Linked DNA regions of Arabidopsis thaliana. The protein of the gene in region 3 interacts with the protein of the main gene of each other region in a biochemical or structural test. Each region holds a gene or a part of one and is shown on either strand. Other genes may lie near its edges. The genes, in order: ADK1, HOG1, AT3G20650 and IMPA-1.

Region 1 (5,349 bases), 4.2 Mb from region 3:
AAACTAATCCATACCACTTTGTCGTGTTGCTTACGCTTGCTGTGTTACAATTTGCGGTTTGATCCCGGTTTTGTACTTTTCGTATTGATATTATTCGCCTTCACTCAAATCTCGTAACTTCACGTACGTACCAATAGATGTTAAAACTAAAATGGATCAAATCATATTTGACTCGTGGCCTTTCCCATGCCAATTTATGCACAAATTCGTTTGATTAGTATACGTAGAAGATAAGAAAGTAGAACTGTACAAGTGAAGTAAAAGTCAAAGTTGTTGATATCGTCCAAAGTCAAAAGTCTTTTACGAGTCATACTGGTCCTACTTTACATTATCAAATACATCCAAAACGAGACATTATACTTGTCATTTCCATGATTCAATAGAAATTGTTCTATACATGTGCCGACACAAAAGATTCTGCAAATTTTCTTTGCATAGGAATGTCCAATGTTGTTTCGTTGAACCGAACCAAATAGAATTCGAACAGAGAAACTAGTTAATATAACAGTAATGTACATTATAGGGAATAATGATCATTCAATTATTTCATGAAATGAAGCAAGTTCAAACAAAAATAGAGGATAATTACATCCATGAAGATATAACAAGTTATGAACATTTTGACATTTGGAATATCATACTCGGCCTAGTATAGTAATAATATTTATTAATCATAAAAAGGTACAATAAAACCAAGCCAAAACACACACTCAATAATAGCTTAAAGCCTCAAAAGGTGATACAAGAAAACAACATAGAGTTTATTTGGGTCGTATAATAATAATCACCAAAATCTCATTCAGAGATAAAACTAAAAGGATGATTTGTGCGACTTCTAGATTTAGTTGAAGTCTGGTTTCTCAGGGTAAGTGCAACCAGACCTCTGGATCACTACGTTTGACGCGTAGCATCCTGCCCTCACACACTCTTCAATCCCCTTTCCGTGCACCAGCTGGGACAGAAACCCTCCCACAAATGCATCACCTATGAACACAGAGAACCAAGAGGGTTAAACCACCGGAATTAGTTTACTTGAGACTGATACAAAATGTATGATAATCTTCTTATTACAATATAACAAAGCAAACGGTTTGGTAAACCTGGATTTGGATAAGAGTTTTTATGCTATAATTAGATGAGTGGTTGATATCATCAAACAATAATAAGCTTTTAACTCTTAGCTATAAGTTAAGCTGTATCTAATCTAGGACGGAATGTAGCAAATTCGAGCTGCTGTGACTTAGTTAGAGTGCAGTTAGTGAGGCCTGAGTTCTTAACAAATACCTGCACCGTTGGTGTCAACAAGCTTCTCTTTGGGGAGAGGGATGACTGGGTACTTCTTCACTTTTCCATCCTCAGCGACAACCACAGGATCTGCGCCTTGTGTAATCACAGTAGTCCTCTTGTATGTTCCAGAGGCTTTGGGTAACTGGGACATCTTGATGGCTATTTGCTCAACATCATCAGTCTGTATAAAATATAACCAAACAGATTAATAAACTGTCTTTCTTCAAACAATACAGGGTGAAATTTCGACAGTTACCTCCCAGCCGTGAACCCTGGAGAAGGTTCTTGCCTCGGTCTCATTGCCAAAAATATAGTCCATGTACCTGGTCCAAGCAAGACATTAGATGCAGCGTCTTGCTTTTCAGTATATCGCCAGTGATTAGTTTAGGCAATTATAAGATGGAATAAATGGATCGAGAGATTAGGATGTGCTTACGGCAGGCACTTCTCCTGAACATCTTTGAAGAATTCACAGATGAATGGAGCAGAAAGGTTCATCGTGAACACCTGTCAAATATGTGAGCATATCAGGACTGTTCATGCCAAAGACAACACTGGTAGGAGAAACAAATCACTGTGCCTGGCTCTCATAAAGGATCATGTATTCATACCTTGTTGTTTGCAGCAGCATGTTCACGTACCAACTGAATGGATTCTGGTGATACCGTGAGGAAGAATCCAGCAATGTAATAAAACTTGGCCTTCTCAACTGCCAAGAAAGAAATATGTTTCACAAAATCTCAGATAACTCCAACATATGACAATATCCGATCTCAGAATAAAAAGGTCAGAAGATGAGTTTTGTACCCAGAGCCCAGTTCTCAGGCTTCTTCAAGTGTTCAACCTTGTAGCAATTAGCAGCAGAAAGATTGGCAATGAGCGATCTGCAAAAGGGGAAACACGCCTCAGTACAACTCAGCAGAAACACATCTTATTAAGACAAATGATAAGCAGACATAGAAAGAATTATTGTAAACTGACCTTTCTCCACCAAGAACACAGACACCGCAAGTTCCGGTAGGTGTTGCCTCATCTTCGTAATAGTGGACCTGGATACAGAACAAGCGCAGATTAACAGTCTATTTCCTGATGATTGAACATGAAGCAAAACCAACCACCAATAATTAATAATTGATAAACATAAAGCAGACTCACATAGACACCAGCTGCTGTAGCATCCTTCTTCATTGCCTCTCCGTATTTGTCCTTTCCAATGGATCCCATGTAACTGGTTGCCCCAGGAACTTGAAGCATCCACTGCAGTAATCAAAGATACCATTCATTTAGCAAAAAAAGGTACTAACTTCAAAACAAGTATGAGTAGAAACCGTAATTATCCTTTACCTGGGCCACTTTGATTGAGTTCTGGGTAGCACCTGAAAGCCAAACGAAATCAAGAAAATATCAAAAATACTGCAAATACACATGAACACCAAATGTCTATTGATAGCTCAAAAGATGAATTACCTCCAGCAATGTATTCAACATTGAACTTCTGGCTCATTTCATCGTACCTAAACATACCAATTATCATGTGAATAAACAAAGAGTATTTGAAAAATAATCACTGTCATATTAAAATCACATCAAGAATCACTTAAGGGCAATGAAAAATCACCACACTTGTGTCTGTTTCCCTTAAACATAGCACTTGTCACAATCAAATCATAATTCTTCTACGCAGATTACATATACATATCCACATCAATTACAGAACAACTTGAAGAGTAAATACTAATCAATCCTCATTATCACCATTTGAATTCAAATGCACGCTAGGATTGAGAAAAAGTGAATTCACTTACATGGGCAAATGTTTGTCCTCTGCGAGAATCGCATTGTTCAATTTGATGTCGTATCTGTCACGAATTCAAAAGAAAGCATTAGAATTCAGAGAACCCATAAAGAATATCGTAAACACAAACAATCTAGATCCGAGCGAAAACGATCCGGATCTGAGCTTACTTGTCGAGAAACTGTTGGTCGACGACGGCAGAGACGTCGAGGAGTGGGTTTCCCATTCCCAAAAGGATTCCATCGAAATCAGAGGAAGCCATGGATGATGATGTTAGAAGGATTTTCGAGGAAAGGGAAGAGGTTCAGATCTGGTAAATGGAGGAGCAAGTGTTTTGTGTGAGTGAAGTGTTTGTGTTTATAAGCTCTGAAACCAAAGTAGGTATACCAAAGATAGATTCTTCTTCTTCCTATTATTTTATATATATTATTTTTTAATGCATATTTATCTTTTTTTTTGGGCAAAATAATGTATATTTATATATTAGCTCAAAATCATGCATAAATTTGCCATTGGAATTTCTAATTCTATATTAAACCAAATTTTAGTATAGTTCATTTCATTCAACTTCATTTGTAGAGAAAAGTTAACTGAAACAAAATTTATGAGTAACGAAATAATTGATGAAATAGAGTAGTGTTGTTGTCAAATGCAGCTATATACGTCCCTATCCCACCAACCCACTTGAGAAAAGTGTCAACACATGTCCAAAAGTCTATTGGATCTTGTTGTAAGAACATAAAAATTCTAATTAAGTTGTTTCTTTAAGAGAGAGTTAAAAACAATGAGAAAACCAAATGTGACAGCATTGCAACTTACAAAATGAATAGGAAAAAGATTGAATTTGTCGGTGGCATTGAAAAGTCCTGAATCATCCACGTTGGTTTGTTTCAGCATTGAAAGTTTTCACTTTTCAGGGTTTGAGAGTTATGTATTCATTCATTCACAGAGAATAGGCAAACAATTTAGGTAAGGACAAAAGGGACGATATTATTATTGTTGAAAATTCACAGAGAATAAGACATAACGCCAAACAATTCAGGCAAAATCCACAAACTGTAAATGTGAACCTTTTGATGGATTCTTCCAATATCTGTATCCTTCTTTTGTTATGGATCTTAAAGGCAGAAGAAGTAATACAGCTCTGCAAGAACTTCAAATCTAAGGAAAACACAAGTCAATGTCTAAAGCCTATGGCGGCTTTGTTTCTCCTCATAGGAAGAGGATCAATATGTAGAAAAATTTTGGAGTGAAAATCCAAGAGGAAGATCCAATAAGTAAGTAAGGAAAGAATTATGGTTTTTCACGGGTGTTTAGAGATGATCACAGATGGCTTTTGTGAAATCTGTTGTAGTTGAGGAACCTCCGAGATCAGCAGTTCTATACTTTCCCTCGGCTATTGTGTTGATGATGGCACTGTGGATTTGCTCTGCTTGTTTGTTGAGCTTCAGGTGCCGCAACATCATCACTCCACTCAGTAGCAAAGCTGTTGGGTTCGCCAGGTTCTACACAACACCAGCAAAGAATAACAAACATGTGGATCATAAGCTAAAAATCGAATCAAGTTCTGATATTGAATAGTGGCAAGATAATATCTAAACCCACTGTATTTGAAAACATGATTTATTTATTAGACTCCTTAACCCTCAATGCTAGGTTGGCCAGTTATTAACATCATTCAAGTACTACAAGCACGATCATCCAGTAAGAACCATTCTACAATATAAACTAGACAATAATCCATTCTACAATGAAAGCTTCTGAATGTTCAACCAAGAAATGGCATAGAAGAGAGTAATGGAGAATCTTCTCTCAGGAACAGCTTCTATCATACTTAGTTTTAGGGTAAAAGTAGGCAAGTTCACTTAAATTTGTCAAAATCTGTAATGCAGTGTCTAAATCCTATTTACTCTAATAATTTAACAAGTTAACAACAACTCTATGCATCAAACGAATTTAGAACGATGATAACATCTAAGAATGATGACTAACCATTCCAGCAATATCAGGTGCAGAGCCGTGAACAGCTTCAGCAAGGGCAATACCATCCTCCCCAATATTCATACTGGAACAAAACATAATAAGAGCATAAGATGATTGCCTCATTTTCATACTAGACAATAATCTGTGAGACGAAGAAACAAATGTTACCTAGGAGTCAGTCCTAGTCCCCCAACAAGTCCAGCACACAAATCGCTGATAATATCTCCATAGAGATTTGGCATCACCAAGACATCAAAAAGTGCTGGGTTTTTCACAAGCTGTCA
Region 2 (4,953 bases), on a different chromosome or scaffold from region 3:
AGTTGTAATAATAATGTTCATTAGTGCATTAGTTTCCTCCTTCGTTGCCCAACAAAAGAATAAGCTATCATTGACAGTTTTATGATATTCGGAGTTCCAAAATCATTTTTCGAAACTCGGCCTTTTAAGGCATTTGGATCAAAACTTCGGTGCATATACTAAAAACATATGGATATATCGGGTTGAGTCGCCTCGTAGAATTCCTCGAGAAGATATATATTTTGACTTGGTGCTGGCCATTTGTAAGAATAGCATAAGCCACCAGTCACCAAGATTATTCATCGTAAATTGTAACAAACTCACCATTATTTGGAGAGCCCAAAGATACTACTCAATCTTCTTACCATAAACTTTTGTCACTGTCTTATAAGCTATAAGATTACTGGTCTACTTAACTCAGAAATATTTATGTCCTTTGTAGCCAAAAGCTACACTGAAATTGACACAACTCGAGTGTTGTCCTTTTCTGGTCGATTGAATAGAATCGAATGTCTTAATCCAGTACCCTCCAGCTTTTATTTCGTGTAATTTATTTTCCAAACCTACCACTACCAGTTTCATAACTCTCGAATAAATTTATCAAATAGTCTTTTGAGTGCTCAAAGTCTTGGGATAATAAATGGTCAGTGCTATGTATCACCCGGATGTGAAACATTATGGGTGGAGATAGACTATTATAAATTTATTGAAATATACGATTGTTACTCGTTTAATAGCAAAAGTAGTACAATGTATATAGTTTCTATCGAGAACAAGATCTATTTAAAATTCGAAAAGTACATTTAAAATTCATAAACATATAAAGATAGTAACATGTTAGATCTGCATAGTACCACCAAAACAAGAAAAAAGAAACGCACATCGCCACATAATTGCTATGATTCTCACTGTCGGCTGCTTTGAAATATTACGATTCTTTTGGTAAATCACACAACATAATATAATTACAATAAATATATATATACTAAAGTATAATTAATATAATTAATACCACATTGTTTAATTCTGTTTTGATCTTTTAAGATCAGTCAGATCCACCGACGTTCCTACACGCGCAGGTCCAGATCCAAACAGCACACACACACACACAATGCCACTAGTGTAAATGCTTGGTGGCTATTGCATTTGCACCTATTGATACTCTTTCTTCAAAAACAAGTTATTGTTTTTATTTTCAACCCAACTTTAATACGGATTCATACTGGGATTTAGGTGTTAAATCTGATAATTTAGGTTTGAATAAGTTGTATATTTGTTTCTTTGATTAAAAAAAGAACCTATATATATACAAAAATAAATAAAAAGTTCTAGATTTCAATTTTCCGTATATAGCGGGTTGAATTGTCTATTTTAATATGAAAATTGACGGATCTTATAAACAAAATGTTCTGAAATATGTAAAAGGATTTAGCCAAAGTTAACCAAAAAAAAAAAACAAACAGAAAAGTCACATTCACATGTCGTGGTAGATCTAAGGCATTAATTTAGAAATATGTCGTTACAATAAGCGGAGAACATGGGACGTTTCTCGTGGTCCAATCAGACGAACGAGATCTCATAAATTAAATGACTTCAGACGAGGGAATTCATGGCAGAATGATAATGCAACTTAAGTGACTTTAGAGTGAAAATGATACGAGAACAATGCATAATCCATATGACCGTTGAGTGAGTGATACCATTAGCGCGATACAAGCGGGACTATAAACTGATCTAGATTGTTTTTCTTGGGAAAAAATGTTACAAATTTTAAATATGTAGTTTGAATTGTTAAACCAAGATTCAACAGAAATATACCGTAAATAAACAACAGTTGATAATAGTCATCGAAAAGATATCAACTGATTCTTCACTTGGGCTACTGTGACGGCCCGTTAGGGTTCTCAATATAAGTCAATAACTACGATCTACGATTCACTGAAACAAATAAAACACAGCCACGTGTCCACCCTCCCACATCACCGTCCGATCTAACCCACGACAAGCTTACAACACGGGTCATACCGCTCGTGCAGCGTGTTCCGTCATCCACGGGATTACAACTTCTACCAGATCCACCAAACCCTCAAAACAATCTGAACCGTTCATTTCATTTTGACCTCATCTATATATTCTCTGTCACTCCCTTTCTCTTCTCCTCGCACACACTTCTCTCTCTCTCTCTCTCTGCCTCCTTTCGGATTCAAATCTCAGATCTAGCTCAACCATGGCGTTGCTCGTCGAGAAGACCTCAAGTGGCCGTGAATACAAGGTCAAAGACATGTCTCAAGCCGATTTCGGTCGTCTCGAACTCGAGCTCGCCGAAGTTGAGATGCCTGGACTCATGGCTTGTCGTACCGAATTCGGACCTTCTCAGCCATTCAAAGGCGCTAGAATCACCGGATCTCTTCACATGACCATCCAAACCGCCGTACTCATCGAAACCCTAACTGCTCTCGGTGCTGAAGTCAGATGGTGTTCCTGCAACATCTTTTCCACTCAAGACCACGCCGCCGCAGCCATCGCTCGTGACTCCGCCGCTGTTTTCGCCTGGAAAGGTGAGACTCTTCAGGAGTACTGGTGGTGTACCGAGCGTGCTCTAGATTGGGGTCCAGGTGGTGGTCCTGATCTGATTGTTGATGATGGTGGTGACGCTACTCTTTTGATTCATGAGGGTGTTAAAGCTGAGGAGATCTTTGAGAAGACTGGTCAAGTTCCTGATCCTACTTCTACTGATAACCCTGAGTTTCAGATCGTGTTGTCTATTATCAAGGAAGGTCTTCAAGTTGATCCTAAGAAGTACCACAAGATGAAGGAGAGACTTGTTGGTGTCTCTGAGGAAACTACCACTGGTGTTAAGAGGCTTTACCAGATGCAGCAAAATGGAACTCTTTTGTTCCCTGCCATTAACGTTAACGACTCTGTCACCAAGAGCAAGGTATTGATCTTCAGATTTGTTTCTTTACTAGTGATGATAAATCTGCTAGGTCTTTAGCTCTGTAGTTTTTGATGCGATAGGCTTAACAACAACATAATCACTAAGTAGAAGCAAGCTTTTCATTGTTGGTTGTTGAAAGTATTACGATCTAGTAGAGAAAAGTCCTTCCTTGGTTACAGAATTTGCATGAAAAGTCAATATTTCTCATGCTTTCTTTGATTTTATATTCAACGTTTTGTTTACACTTATGTGCTGTTACTGATAAATTCATTTGTTCTTGATTTACAGTTCGACAACTTGTATGGTTGCCGTCACTCACTCCCTGATGGTCTCATGAGGGCCACTGATGTCATGATCGCTGGAAAGGTTGCTGTTATCTGTGGATATGGTGATGTTGGAAAGGGTTGTGCTGCTGCCATGAAGACTGCTGGTGCTAGAGTCATTGTGACTGAGATTGATCCCATCTGTGCCCTTCAAGCTTTGATGGAAGGACTTCAGGTTCTTACCCTTGAGGATGTTGTCTCAGAAGCTGATATCTTTGTCACCACCACCGGTAACAAAGACATCATCATGGTCGACCACATGAGGAAGATGAAGAACAACGCTATTGTGTGCAACATTGGTCACTTTGACAATGAGATTGACATGCTTGGACTTGAGACTTACCCTGGTGTGAAGCGTATCACCATCAAGCCACAGACTGACAGGTGGGTGTTCCCAGAGACCAAGGCTGGAATCATTGTCTTGGCTGAGGGTCGTCTGATGAACTTGGGTTGTGCCACTGGTCACCCAAGTTTCGTGATGTCTTGCTCTTTCACCAACCAGGTGATTGCCCAGCTCGAGCTCTGGAACGAGAAAGCAAGCGGAAAGTACGAGAAGAAGGTGTACGTTCTTCCCAAGCATTTGGATGAGAAGGTTGCATTACTTCACTTGGGCAAGCTTGGAGCCAGGCTTACAAAGCTGTCAAAGGACCAATCTGACTACGTCAGCATTCCAATTGAGGGACCATACAAGCCTCCTCACTACAGGTACTGAGAGAGAGAGAGAGTCGACAAAGCGGTTCAGGTTCGGATCTACTTGTGGTTTTGTGTTGGGTTGTGGTGGGAGAGTGGAACAGTTTGAGATATTGGTCTTCTGATGAAGTTGACCAAATATCAGTATTAATAAGGGTTATTGGCTTTTGAAGGTTGTGCTTGTTTTCTCCATTTTTCATGAAACTTAAATTAGTTTTTGGTTTAGTTTCCCTCTTGATTTTATTTTGTGTGTTCTGTTTAGCGTTGTACTCTTCAAACAAATGAGAAACCAAAAAAAAAGGGGAAACTTGTTTTCGGCATCCCAGTGTTAGCGACTTTTGTTGAATGAATGTCTCAAATGCTCATCTTTAATAATGTGTGTTAGGACACGAACAACACATGGTTCGATTCGTGGGGGATTTTATGGTTGTAGTTATTATCGTACACGTTTCAAAGTTCTCTTAAGTATTCAAAAAGGCTTTTCCAATATAAATTTTTGATAGCATTTAGCTATAAGATTCGTTTTCATTTTCTTCAATTCTATGTCATCACTGATAAAATCTGCTTTGAAAATTTCAAAATTTATTACTTTTGCAAGAAGAATGTGAACGTTCCTACAAAGAGAGGGGTAGAAAATAAAAACTGGACTCGAAGTAGGAACCCAAACCCGACTGAAAATACTCAAGAGTCCAAGCCCGTTCTAGATAAATACCAAAATGGGTCTTAAGGCTTGGTATTCGGGTACATGATAATATCTGATCCGAACTGAAACATGAACTGTTTACCCGAAACCAGTGGCGGAACTACGTAGGGGGCAGGTTAAAATTCAAAGTGGTGAACGAGTACGGCCTCGAGAGTTTATGGAGTAAGATTCGAATTAGCGTTTCCTACGAAACGCATGAAACCAGTACGTTCGACCAAGAATGATGAGGAGGTTCTTCTGGTTCTCGATGCAAACTTGGGCTTGTACAACTTTGAGTGTAGTACTTGAGAGGAATTAATCTAGAAATCCACGGTGTTGAA
Region 3 (5,555 bases):
TGACGTGGTATTGGTATCAATTAGTTTACATAAAGTAATTCAGTTCTTATCTACAGGTTCTGTTAATCAGATGTGTTTTTAATTTAGGCTCTTTGGTTTCATCTCTAATTTAAGAGACATCTACTCGTGATATATTTTTCGGGTTTTAACCGAAAATTAAAGAAACACAAATCCATAAAAGAAAAGTAGAGCACACTAGTTCAACCAGAGGCTTCGATTGGTTAAATCTATTGCAAAAGACATGAACAAAAACTGAATGTTTCACACAAAAAACAAGAACCAAACAAAGTCACATGCTCGACCGACTTTGTTCTTGATCAGAAAGTACACTCGACACCTTTGTGTGGAAGAACATGCTTTCAAGTCTCTCCCTTGTGGAATTAAGGAGACAAAAGACAAACAAGTAGTGATTAAGTTTTGTTTGATCTCTCAATTGTTTAAGCTCTATTAGAAACTTTCTTGTATTTGTTCTACCTACGTAAGAGATTGTTGTAAGGACAAACAGAAAACTCGTCAATCGTGCGTCTTTTTAGTGTAAAAGAAAGAGAAACTGACATCAAAAACTAAGAGAGTAGTAACATAACAAAAGCTTGAAATTTTTCTCAATTTCCTCTAGTTCAAACTCGACCTAATCCCAAAAGATAGTAATACAAATAAAAAGGCATGGACCTTGTTAAACAAAGTACGCTACGAATACATCACAATACAAATCATGAATAATGATCATGATGGTAACCATGTTCATCATCCTGATGGTATATCAAAGCCTATACACTTGAAAACACAAGTGTTCAACGACTATAATATTATTTGGCTTCTTCTCATCTTCTTTCTTGTGAACGGATCAGATTTTTCTAAAGTAATGCAATCTCTCAATTCAAATGGCCAAAAACGTAAGACAACGAAGTGAGACCAAAAACAGAGACTCTAAGAGTAAAAGAAACACTCTTTGACACTTCAGCTATCGATATACAAAACATCATCTTTCGACAAGTTCATTTTCCCATTCTTCCTCCGCCCGCTCCTTCGAGCTCCATCTGATTCTCCCCTCTATAAAATCCACCCGTTAAATAGACATTACCGACGAAGCAGGAAAGGTGAAGATTGAAAGATGATAAAAAGGAGACAAACCTTTCTCAAGACAAAAGAGAGGTATAAATATGCAGCTTCCCATTCATCAGCTGATAATGTGCCTGGAAAGATACTAATCAAGTTAGTTTTGTTATCTCGCATTTGGTTAGAATCAAAAGGATGATATGAAGCAAGAATCGAACAAAGACTTACTCTGATCATTGCTACCATCACCCAAAGCACCAAGCCTTCTCATGAGTTCGACAAACTCTGGCTTTTTCATATACTCATGGACAAACTCGTGGGAGTTCTTCACAAATACCAACTCTAAATCATACTATCCAAAAATTCATGGGACAATGTCACACTCACAAATATGAACCAGTGTTTTTAGCAATTAGAAGGTTTTCACGTTAACACTGCATCAAGTATTTACCTCCTCCGCTAAAGACTTGAAGACGTTAAAGGGCACAATCCATTCAGGACAATCAACAGCATCCTACAATACAAGTTCCTATGTTATATTTTCTTTTTAACAGCAAACATGACAAGGGAAGTTTCTGGAATCTCCATTTAATAGGTAGTCGTGTTCTTACAATATATTTACACAGATATAGTTTCCTTTACAATGCTTAAGTTTCTGCGGTAGACTAAGTGAATATCTCAAGAATACTGTAGATAAATTAGGTACCTCGAGATGAAACACGTATTCGATACCAAATGGGCTGCTAGATTTGAACTTCTGAACCATACAACGAGAAACTCATCATTAGAACCAGGAAAGAAAGGACTTTCCGGAAAACGGATAAAGTCAAAACTAAGGACAAAGAAAGGTCACCTTTTGGGAATACTCTTCACCAAAACGAATCCAGTAAACACTATTACCAATCTCCAAACCTTCAGCTGCGTATTCAGTATACAACAAATAACAGTTTAATTTCCAAAAACCCAGAAGCACTGAGGAGAAACTAGAACAAAATGTATAGGAGAAACTAGAGCAACTCAATTTTCAGAGGATCACAGATCAAATTCTAAGCAAAGAAGGAAAACGAAAATAACCTTCTCTGAGTTTTTTTATAATAACATTGGCATCTGGCATTGTTCCGATAAAGACACCTCCTGGACGAAGTAAAGCTGAAACATTTGCCAAAGCTCGTCGTGCACGTGCCTCAGTAGTCCATGAGTAATGCATAGCAAACTACACAGTTAAACAATGACTTGGTAACTTTAGAATCCATAACTACACAACTAACTATATTTCAACCACGCTACAACTTCAATATGCCAGTGGGAAAAACTAATTTTGGCACAACCTAGTTACAAAGCCGAAGTAGAGTCTCGTGACTAGTAAAACCAAATAGTTTATCTGAAACTGTTCAAACTTGACCGGATATGTACTTTAAAACAGAAAGGAGATTGAAACATATAAAACCTGGCAACTGCAGATATCAAAAGGGGCATCCTCTTCAAGAATCTTGTCTAGCTCTACCTGTAAGCAATTACACAATTAGGATTTACAAATAGTGAAGCTAGAGGAACTTATCTCATTATACCATGTCAACAAGATTCCTAAACTACTAGAGGAGCTTAGCTCATTATACCTCAAAACAATCCCCACATAATAATCGAGACGGAAAACTGAACTTTTTACGCCGTTGATGATGGTCTGCATCACCGTTATAACGCGTGCGACAATCTTCAATCTGTTATTAAGTACAACATAGAAGCACTTCTCAGGTATAGAGATAAAACATATATGCAAAATAAAGATACAGCTATCATTCAGCCAGTAAACTTACCGACCCTTCAGCAATATCAATTCCAACATAGTACCCGATTCTCGCCTTATCCCACTTGATCAAATCACCACCCTGGTAAAAGCATTACAATGAGATTAGTTTTGAGAAATAACAATTGACATGAACAATAAGATTGTTTTAAGTCAAGAACCTTCCCACAGGCAAGGTCGAGAACAGCATCGTCAGGACGAGCATAAAGCTGGATCAAAACACTTTTAATCTGTTTGTATAAGAATAAGAAAAAGAGGAACAAAATTGAATTATCATAATACAACAAGTTTCACGGACAGAGAGAGATGTTAAAGAGTAACCAACCCAATTGTTAAGTTTCTTCAAATGAATGATGGGACTAGCTTCTCGCTCTTCCAATGTTTGGTTTGTTCTCCTACTGTAATGATCAGCAACTTTCCGGGCAAAATTCTTTGTAGTCTCATCTTCCAGAAACTGAGAATCACCTGAAAGACAGAATCTGACTTTAAGCTTTACACAATCATAGTCATTTTGGCGAAACGATTGCTTAAAGAAACAGACTTTAAACAATTAAAACCATAGAATCCAAAGTAAAAGCTTAAGAACTAAAACTCCAACAAGACAGCAAACACACAGTTAACACTCTATCAGAATGAAAAGCTTGATAGAAACTATAAAGAAGGAAACTTTTTCCAACGGGCAAACAAAAGCAACTCTCAGGGACAAAGAAGGAACTAGCAAGGGAGGGATCATCAATAAACCCTTGTGGAACACAAATCGAATCAACAGAGGAGGAAGAGAGGGAAACGAAACCTTCGGGATTAGATTTGAATCTGGAAGAAGGAGGAGGAGCAGAGCTTGAAGGAGAATCGGAGAATCCTCGTTTCATAACAACAGTTCAGATGTTTGTTACCGAATGTTTCTCTCTATCTGCAACTCTTTGATGTACTTCAATAATAAGAACCCAATTAAGACAACCAAATAAAGGAGAAAAGATTTGGAGTTGGGGATTTCTTAAATCAAAGATTTGTTTGTGTTTCTTTGGCAAAAAGCAAAATTTTGGTTTAATTATGTTTTACTAGCTTGCGGCTGCGGCTTGTTTCACGCCGCTCCGAGTCGGAGGCGACAAATTATTTTGGCCGGTAAAAAAAAGGTAACGATGTAGAACGATTCCACTGGGGATCGAACCCAGAATCTCTGGTTTCGTAGACCAGCGCCTTATCCATTGGGCCATGGAACCTGATCTGTTACTTTTCGTAAAATTAATTATATATTTGTGAAACAAAAAAATATAAAAGAAGACCTCAGGATAGAATAATACTGGTAAAAGAGTTCATAACATTAACATAGTTTTTGACAATCACATTATTAGTGTAAACTTCAATTCAATAATACTAGAGAATTTGATACCAACAACATGTTTATTTTCATGGGAATGGCATTGATAGTGCTACGTACTGGTAACACCGTAACAAGTCTATGATATTTGGTATTTTGCCATCAAAACTAATTTTATGTGCATGACAACATACTATGATTATCTTCTTTTTAAATGTTCTTGTAATTTCACGTCGATGATAACCTATCCATAAATATTTCATAAAAATGAAAAAAGGTTTAAGAATACGATCAAAACTTTATATGCCTATGCAATGGTCCCATACTCTCATGGCAAAAACCATAAAAACATGGAAGTAATTTAGTCTGTGTAAGAAGGAGGAATAGTTTTGGATTTGCAAGCGTATACACTATACAGTATGAATTTTTTTTGTCAAAAAATGAATTCATCCCACGCTTGGAGGTGGATTCAACGTTAATGGAGCCTCTCCTGTTGCTGAAGATGTTAAGCCTCCTCCGGTTCTAGGGAGAGTATGAGAATCCATCATTTCATAACAAATAAGTCGTTTCCTCATTATTTAGCAAGCAAAATTGGTTCAATCTTCACTTTCCGATTAACTTCTTTGTTTCTCTTGCAAGCAATATTGGTTTGTATTTACCGTGCATTACAATGCTTATTGTTTGTGGTAGTAAAATCAATGTTATCTCTGTTAACATGTACCACCATTTCAAGACCCATAGACTTTAATGCAAAATCAATGTTATCTCTGTTAAAGCGAAGAAACATGTAAGACTACAAAAACAATTCGACATTTCAAAAACACCTATTTTCTAAGATCTTGACTTGTGTCTCTCCATGTCTAAGTGTAAATTCTGTTTCTTTTAACATATTACTTCTCCTCTTTCTCTGTTACTCTCACTCTCAGCTTCGTGCATCCCAAACATTGTATCATACAACGGCTTGTTTAACGTCTCTGGCAAGTAAAACGCAAGCCCACCTCCCACTAACCCGCAAACCGCAAACACCCCAAAAGGTAACTCTTCCCCTAAAACCACCACAAACGGCGCCAGAATCGCTCCCATTTGAGCTGCTTGAGTCGCACAACCCAATGCCGCGTTCCTCACCACTGTTGGAAACAGCTCCGCGATGTATATGAACAGAAGATTGTACGTTCCTGCCATCCCGAATATCCCTAAAACCCCTGACACCATTCTAACTGATTTCCATGGACCAGCTCCCCATACAGAGAATCCAACGAGGCAGAAAACGCAGCTGAACCACTGTGTCCCTATGGACAGCGGTTTCCTCCCGTACTTGTCTAGTAAAACCGCGGTTATAGCAAATGCCGGCATTTCCGACACCGCGTTGACAAAGAC
Region 4 (6,030 bases), 5.1 Mb from region 3:
AGAACTACCATATATCGTTCTTATATAATAACTACATCTATGCCCAGCCAACTTAATTTCCCAGAAAGGCGAAAAAGGAAGTCGTAAAACGAAAACAAACATGAAATTTTTTGAAATCGACAAAATATGTTGTTTGGAGCGTGAGAGAAAGCGAGAAATTGTCCGTACCACAAGATAATCTTCTCTGACAAACTTGCCGCGAGGCGGAGGACAGAGAAGCTTTCGCGGACGCGTCAACGGCGAGAAGGGCAAGTTTCCGGCGGTGGAGGAGGAGAACGGCGCGGCTACCGGTCGGATTTCCCTCCGGATAAAGAGAGAAGACGGAGCATGGAGGGAGGATAGAATCGGCGATAACGGAGTGTTGAGGTGTGGAAAAGTTCTGGATTGAACAAGAGCCATTTTGGAAATCGATTTCTGCTTCAAAATGATTTCAGTTTTAGCTTTTGAGGGGTTTTAGACGATAAGGCAATTGAACTGGACATATACTAATAGTTCATTAGTTCTTGTCTTTTTACAATTTACTTGCTCAGGTAAAGTCAAATTCATAATAATTTATTGCTGTTTTATGTATACTTTACTTCATAATTCAAATAAAGATTCGAGTCTTTATAACTCGAAGATAAACCCTTCCTTAGGTTTGACCAAAAAAAAAAAAACCTTTCCTTAGGAAATCAGACACCAAACATATTAAGACCAATAAAGGGTTTATGGTTTCAATTTTTTAACCGACATACAAACTGTTGTCAACACAAAAACAAAAGACTCCACTGTAAGTTTTTATAACCCTCCAAAATTTAAAAACAACACAAAGGTCGACTCACGACCGGTGTACCAGTCATTTCAAAAAAATAGCCCTGGACAATGAACCAAACACTTTCTCAGACGCTGTACTTTTAAACCGACCACCCGGTACAAACCTCTGAGACCAGACCAGACCAGACCTGGAGTATAACCATGGCAGTGAAACTAGACTCTGACTGACTCTGACCTTTCACCATTCTCAAGTTGCAAGCTTCCAATTCCATTCCTGTGGGTTTATATTGATCTAAATATCAGATTTTGCATGTTTTCATCAAGAGACGTTGTTAGAAATTTAAGAATTTTTACTTTTATTTACCTTCAGCTGAAGTTGAATCCTCCGGATGGTACTGGAGCTTGATTCCCTCCAAACTGGAACCCAGCCTGAGAACCATCAACACCTGGAGGTTGCTGTGTCTCATCATCTTCCTCTTCAAGCCAGTATGTCTCCAGAATTTTAACAGCCTTCTCATAGATCTCATTGTTGTCATGGCTCTGAAGGTTCTCGATCTTTTCTAGCCCTTCTGCATCATCAATCAGCTGAGCGTAATAGTTCATGTCTCCTGTGTGACCCAAGTTCTTCTCTGCCTCTCCCACCTTCAAAATGTTTTCCAATCCTTCAAGGCAGACAGTTATGATTCTTGGATCTGGGCAAACCAGGAGATCGCATAATGGTTTTATGCACCCTTGCTCCACCAGGTATCTGTATAACCAACGGGAACAGAACATCAATATATATATACACAAAGTATATATATGAGAGAAGAAACTGGAAGTTAGAGGAACGCAAAAAAGACAGTGACATACTTTATTTGATCATGAGAACCACCTGAAGTTGCATTTGAAATTGCCCATGCAGCTTCCTTCTTAATGTCAAATTCAGCATTTTGAAGCAGACTCACCAACGGGGAAATCAAATTAGCCTCAACTACCGTCTGCAACCATCAGGGGAAAAACAACACAATTAATGAATAGGTATAGAAGTCTGGATGGGAAACGGTACAAAACATATGATGAAACAGTACTAATTGCCTACCTGGATCTGATCTTTGTTGCCTGCTGTGATGTTTGAAATCGTCCAGCAAGCTTCCTTCTTTATGCTTTTCTTATGGTTTTGAGTGAGCAGGTTGGCAAGACAAGGTAGAGCACCACTATTGATCACGCACTGGAGAAGAAGTAAAATCAGATTTCCAAGTAAAACGATGTAAACTATTTCAGATATAGAAAAATCACCTTTGCTAAACTCATGAAAAACCAAATTTCACCAAGCAAAAAATTTGTGCATGTTGTTGGTTTAAACTTTAAAACAAGAATTAATTGTAACAAAACTCAAACACAAGCAATATATAGCAAAAAAGGCACTGCATCCTATCTGCTAATATGGACAGAGTGGCAACAGAGGGAGAATCTCATGATAAGCATTCAATACTCCCATTTTTCACATAAAATGTTGGATATGAATAATAGCAACAGGGTGCCATACATTTGAACAACACCTCATCGCAATTACCAGTCTTGGATTAGATGATATGCATGGTATATCACTAACTTCGACATGTTTTTGCTATCGGTTCAATTAATGAAAAGTTCTAGTGGTATCTTCAGACCTATTCCTAAAGGCCAAAGAATTGCATAACCACAAAGATATTCTTTGGCATAGTAGGAAAAATATATACTATCATATACAATGTGCAAAACCGAAATACTGTGAGAAATTCAATAGACAGGATTTAGATCCATACCTGTGTTTGTATATCATCTCCAGTAACTATATTTCCAACAGTGCGAAGAGCAGGAATTAGCACAGATGGAGAATGATGGCTAAAAATCAAGAGCAAGGTATCAAGTTATTTGTCAACAAATGTGTGAAGTGGACATGAAATAAGGGAATTATAAAATGGTACTGACAGGAGAAGTTCAACAAGTTTTGGGACAACACCGGCCTGGATGACAGTCTGGATTTTGTCATTGGTCCCATCAGAGAGGTAAGAAAGAGCCCAACAGGCATCTGTCAAGACTTCTTCATCATCTGAATGAATTAGTCGTTCAAGGGCGGGAAGAGCAGGTTTGACCTGTTAAACATGCTTCATATGTTAGAAGAATACTAGACATAAACATTGACGAAACAAGCTTGGAGGGGAAAAAAATAGACCTGGTCAAAGTGAGGCTGAGGCTTGCCACGACAGAAGTTTGACAAGGTCCAAGTGGCATTTCGAAGCATGGACAATTTAGCATGCTCATTAAGCTGATTGAGCAGCGGAAGCAGTGCCCCACATCCAAGAACAAGATCACGGCACCGTGGTGAATCACCAGCAACGTTACCCAAAGCCCATACAGCCTGCAGGTTAGAGCGAAATCTTAAGATCAGGGTTTCACAAAATTTTCAATTGCATAATCTCTCATAATAAATGAGAAGACATTCTGTAGTCATCAGAAGTTCCATACCTGTTCACGAACATCATCGCTAGGGGAAGCAAGAAGCTGAACAAAGATTGGAACAGCATTGTGATCGATTACAACCTTAGTGTGATCCGATGTTCCAGATGCAATGTTTGTTAGAGCCCAAGCTGCCTCAAACTAAAATAAAAATCATAAAAGATGAGAAGAGAAGATTACAGTGAAGAATGAATCAATAAGAGACATTAATTATCTCACCTGAATGGCGGGGTAATCTTCTTTCTTAAGAAACTCAACAAACCTAGGAACAACACCAGCACTTATCACTTCCTCGATTGGAGGACTTCTCTCTATGCAATTATAATAGAGACAGAGAGACAAAAGTTAAAGGGGACACTCCAAATTATATCAAAACGGGAAATAAAAGAGAATTAAGAAAAGGAATTACCAATAGAGAGAAGCTTCCTGAACTGAGTAGTGGACTCAAGCTGCAAGGCAGGGTCATCGGACCAAACCCCAGCGACCATATCCTTCAGACTATCCAACTACAAATGTTTTTTTAAAGCCAATCAATCACAAGACAACTACCGTAACCAGAACCCAAAAACGAAACCCTAAAACCTCAGTAAGCCGACATGAAAATCACAAACAAAAACCTAGAAAACCGACAACAAGGAGTACAATCGAATCATCTAAAAACCAGAATTGTACCTTCTTATCGACGGAGGCGGCGGAAGCTGAAGGGAAACCCTGAAGAGCTTGCATACCTTCACGTCTCTTCTTCATCAAACTCTCCTCACGCTTGCTTTTACGGATCTCAACCATGTTGTCTTCTCTCCTCCGTCGTCCTTCCTCCGCATCCACTGCAACTTTGTATCGGTTCCGGCGAACCTCCGTCTTAGCGTTGGGTCTCAGTGACATGGCTCTTGCTCGACAAAGAAAATCCGATGAAAAGATATAAACCCGATCAATGAATGCACACAAGCACACGCAAAGACTGGTCTGTGTATTATATAGATCCTGCCGAGAGCAAATAAATTATAATTATAAAAAAAACCTAAAAATTGATTTGGGAGTGGAAAAGTGATAAAGAAAGAGTTAAGAAGCAGAGGCAGCGAGGGACAAGTTGACAACAGCGCATCCAAAGAATGAAAGCACTTTTTTATTTATTTTTAATCTTTGTTCTTAATTTATACTGTAATTGCTAAAATATTCACTTATTTACAGTTTTGCCACTATTTATTTATGCAAACAGGTGTCCACAATTAGGTTATTTACATAATTAGCCCCTTACTATTGTGTTCTTTGAGGCAAGCTAATGTATTCTTCTTTATATCTCAACAATTTGAAGATCCTTTTGTTTTCATGACTTACAAGTGGACTGCGATTATCTTAATATTAACGTATATAGACCTTGGTTACTATATAACTTTTTGAGTTTTGAATCTACGTTTGTGTTTATACATTTTTTCCTTTCCAATGAAAAGTCGTTGTTTGTCATATATGGATTAGTTATTTCTCTCTAGCGAGATATCCTCAGTCAGATTGTCCACTCTTTAACCGACTACATACCGATCATCGAAGACCAACCTATGAAAGTAACTGACGAGATCATAAGTTTGCTTGGCCATGAACCAGACCGCAATCAAGGCTAACAACGCCGGCCAGATAAACGGCTCAATAGCTGGGTTGGCGCTACGGGAAAATCCAAGCAGAGGTAACAAAGACTTCAAGAGCAAGTAAGGGATGCAGAGTGTGGCTAGAAGTGTGGTTATGATCGAACCAATCACATCTTGAAGCAGCCACATTGAAGGAAGCTTATTGATTCCCACGTTTCTGATTCTCTTGAACTTTCCCCGCCATGCCTTAGTCGCGAAACAGTTGACAGGAAACGAGATTTTTGCTCAGGAGGCAGGACAGTTTCTTTGTTATGAAGTGATATCCCAAGGAAAACCACCTGACTATGGCTGGAAACGAGATTTGACGCAGAGTGAGGAAAATTCCTAAGTAGGCAAAGGGAATTGACAGCGTCATCATGTATCCAAGAATGACAGGTGAGTTTTCGAATAAACCGCCACCTCCTACAATTGCTATTGCAATCCAGCGAAAAGAAAACGGCAGAAGAATAAAGAAGAAAGACACACATATGCTGATGGTAAGAGCCTGTAGATAAGATAACAAACAGAACCTGTTATTCAAAACATGCTCCATATGGTAATTAAGTTACATAGGGTGGACGAAGGAAGAGAACTAGAAGGGACATTAGACTTACATCAAAAGATTTGTTATCCAGAAAGAAAAGCAGCCGTCCAATGGCTCCAAGTTCGTGAACAGCAACACCAACTAGCCTAGGAGGTTCCCCGAAGAAGCTTTGCAATAGAGAATAATACCACTCACAAACGATCTTGTTATATTTCCATAAAACAAGCACAAACCCATCTCCTAAGACATTCTTAATCAAGATGTCAGCCTGAAACCCAGCAGGATGTCTCGCGATAATGGGCTCGTGTATGGGTATCCTCATGAAAAACACAAGATGACCGTTGTATAACAGGCCATTTAAGAAACATGCGGACTTGGTAGACATTCCATAATCTCTCTTGAACCCAACAACAACTTCTTGGCCCAAAGGATGTAAAGAAAGGCAGTATGTGTTCAAGATAAACGCCATAGCCCAAGGAACAACCATTCTCACGTAAGGTGATGCTCTCATTAACACAAACACGTATTAGAAACTCGTGAACTGGAAGTCTCTCTGGAGCGTCCTACAATGAAAACAGAGAGCATTTCATCAAACATTTGGTGTGCGAGATTCTTCTTAAACCCATATTACAA

Evidence for each region.
Region 1: the proteins of AT3G20650 (region 3) and ADK1 form a complex in vitro, tested with the Arabidopsis thaliana proteins (one study listed by BioGRID).
Region 2: the proteins of AT3G20650 (region 3) and HOG1 form a complex in vitro, tested with the Arabidopsis thaliana proteins (one study listed by BioGRID).
Region 4: the proteins of AT3G20650 (region 3) and IMPA-1 form a complex in vitro, tested with the Arabidopsis thaliana proteins (one study listed by BioGRID).

The regions. Positions count from the first base shown.
Region 1 is NC_003074.8:3,010,117-3,015,465, reverse strand, and holds ADK1 (adenosine kinase 1), read right to left. Parts: upstream 3,687-5,349; 5' UTR 3,345-3,686; coding exon 3,253-3,344; intron 3,147-3,252; coding exon 3,093-3,146; exon of another isoform or gene 2,822-3,092; coding exon of another isoform or gene 2,802-2,821; coding exon 2,755-2,801; intron 2,664-2,754; coding exon 2,632-2,663; intron 2,545-2,631; coding exon 2,443-2,544; intron 2,337-2,442; coding exon 2,269-2,336; intron 2,172-2,268; coding exon 2,095-2,171; intron 1,997-2,094; coding exon 1,899-1,996; intron 1,795-1,898; coding exon 1,724-1,794; intron 1,611-1,723; coding exon 1,544-1,610; intron 1,469-1,543; coding exon 1,285-1,468; intron 985-1,284; coding exon 842-984; 3' UTR 522-841; downstream 1-521. Other genes in the region: IDH-VI (isocitrate dehydrogenase VI), read right to left, coding at 4,396-4,587, 5,075-5,147, 5,234-5,343. UniProt on the Arabidopsis thaliana protein: ATP dependent phosphorylation of adenosine and other related nucleoside analogs to monophosphate derivatives. Essential to sustain methyl recycling.
Region 2 is NC_003075.7:8,052,725-8,057,677, forward strand, and holds HOG1 (S-adenosyl-L-homocysteine hydrolase), read left to right. Parts: upstream 1-1,948; 5' UTR 1,949-2,206; coding exon 2,207-2,917; intron 2,918-3,205; coding exon 3,206-3,952; 3' UTR 3,953-3,982; coding exon of another isoform or gene 3,983-4,039; 3' UTR 4,040-4,428; downstream 4,429-4,953. UniProt on the Arabidopsis thaliana protein: Essential protein during embryogenesis.
Region 3 is NC_003074.8:7,220,211-7,225,765, forward strand, and holds AT3G20650 (mRNA capping enzyme family protein), read right to left. Parts: upstream 3,881-5,555; 5' UTR 3,730-3,880; coding exon 3,654-3,729; intron 3,326-3,653; coding exon 3,186-3,325; intron 3,091-3,185; coding exon 3,022-3,090; intron 2,943-3,021; coding exon 2,871-2,942; intron 2,775-2,870; coding exon 2,673-2,774; intron 2,561-2,672; coding exon 2,504-2,560; intron 2,270-2,503; coding exon 2,131-2,269; intron 1,975-2,130; coding exon 1,910-1,974; intron 1,814-1,909; coding exon 1,763-1,813; intron 1,571-1,762; coding exon 1,508-1,570; intron 1,409-1,507; coding exon 1,285-1,408; intron 1,194-1,284; coding exon 1,132-1,193; coding exon of another isoform or gene 1,078-1,131; exon of another isoform or gene 1,051-1,077; coding exon 958-1,050; 3' UTR 523-957; downstream 1-522. Other genes in the region: OCT4 (organic cation/carnitine transporter4), read right to left, coding at 5,061-5,555. UniProt on the Arabidopsis thaliana protein: mRNA-capping methyltransferase that methylates the N7 position of the added guanosine to the 5'-cap structure of mRNAs. Binds RNA containing 5'-terminal GpppC.
Region 4 is NC_003074.8:2,118,645-2,124,674, reverse strand, and holds IMPA-1 (importin alpha), read right to left. Parts: upstream 4,332-6,030; 5' UTR 4,117-4,331; coding exon 3,907-4,116; intron 3,741-3,906; coding exon 3,644-3,740; intron 3,546-3,643; coding exon 3,454-3,545; intron 3,376-3,453; coding exon 3,244-3,375; intron 3,137-3,243; coding exon 2,951-3,136; intron 2,871-2,950; coding exon 2,707-2,870; intron 2,620-2,706; coding exon 2,541-2,619; intron 1,964-2,540; coding exon 1,835-1,963; intron 1,734-1,834; coding exon 1,606-1,733; intron 1,502-1,605; coding exon 1,120-1,501; 3' UTR 1,118-1,119; exon of another isoform or gene 1,108-1,117; intron 1,028-1,107; 3' UTR 509-1,027; downstream 1-508. Other genes in the region: TRX z (Thioredoxin z), read right to left, coding at 169-399; AT3G06710 (E3 ubiquitin ligase), read right to left, coding at 5,062-5,358, 5,468-5,908. UniProt on the Arabidopsis thaliana protein: Binds to conventional NLS motifs with high affinity in the absence of an importin beta subunit. Mediates nuclear protein import across the nuclear envelope in vitro in the absence of exogenously added importin beta subunit.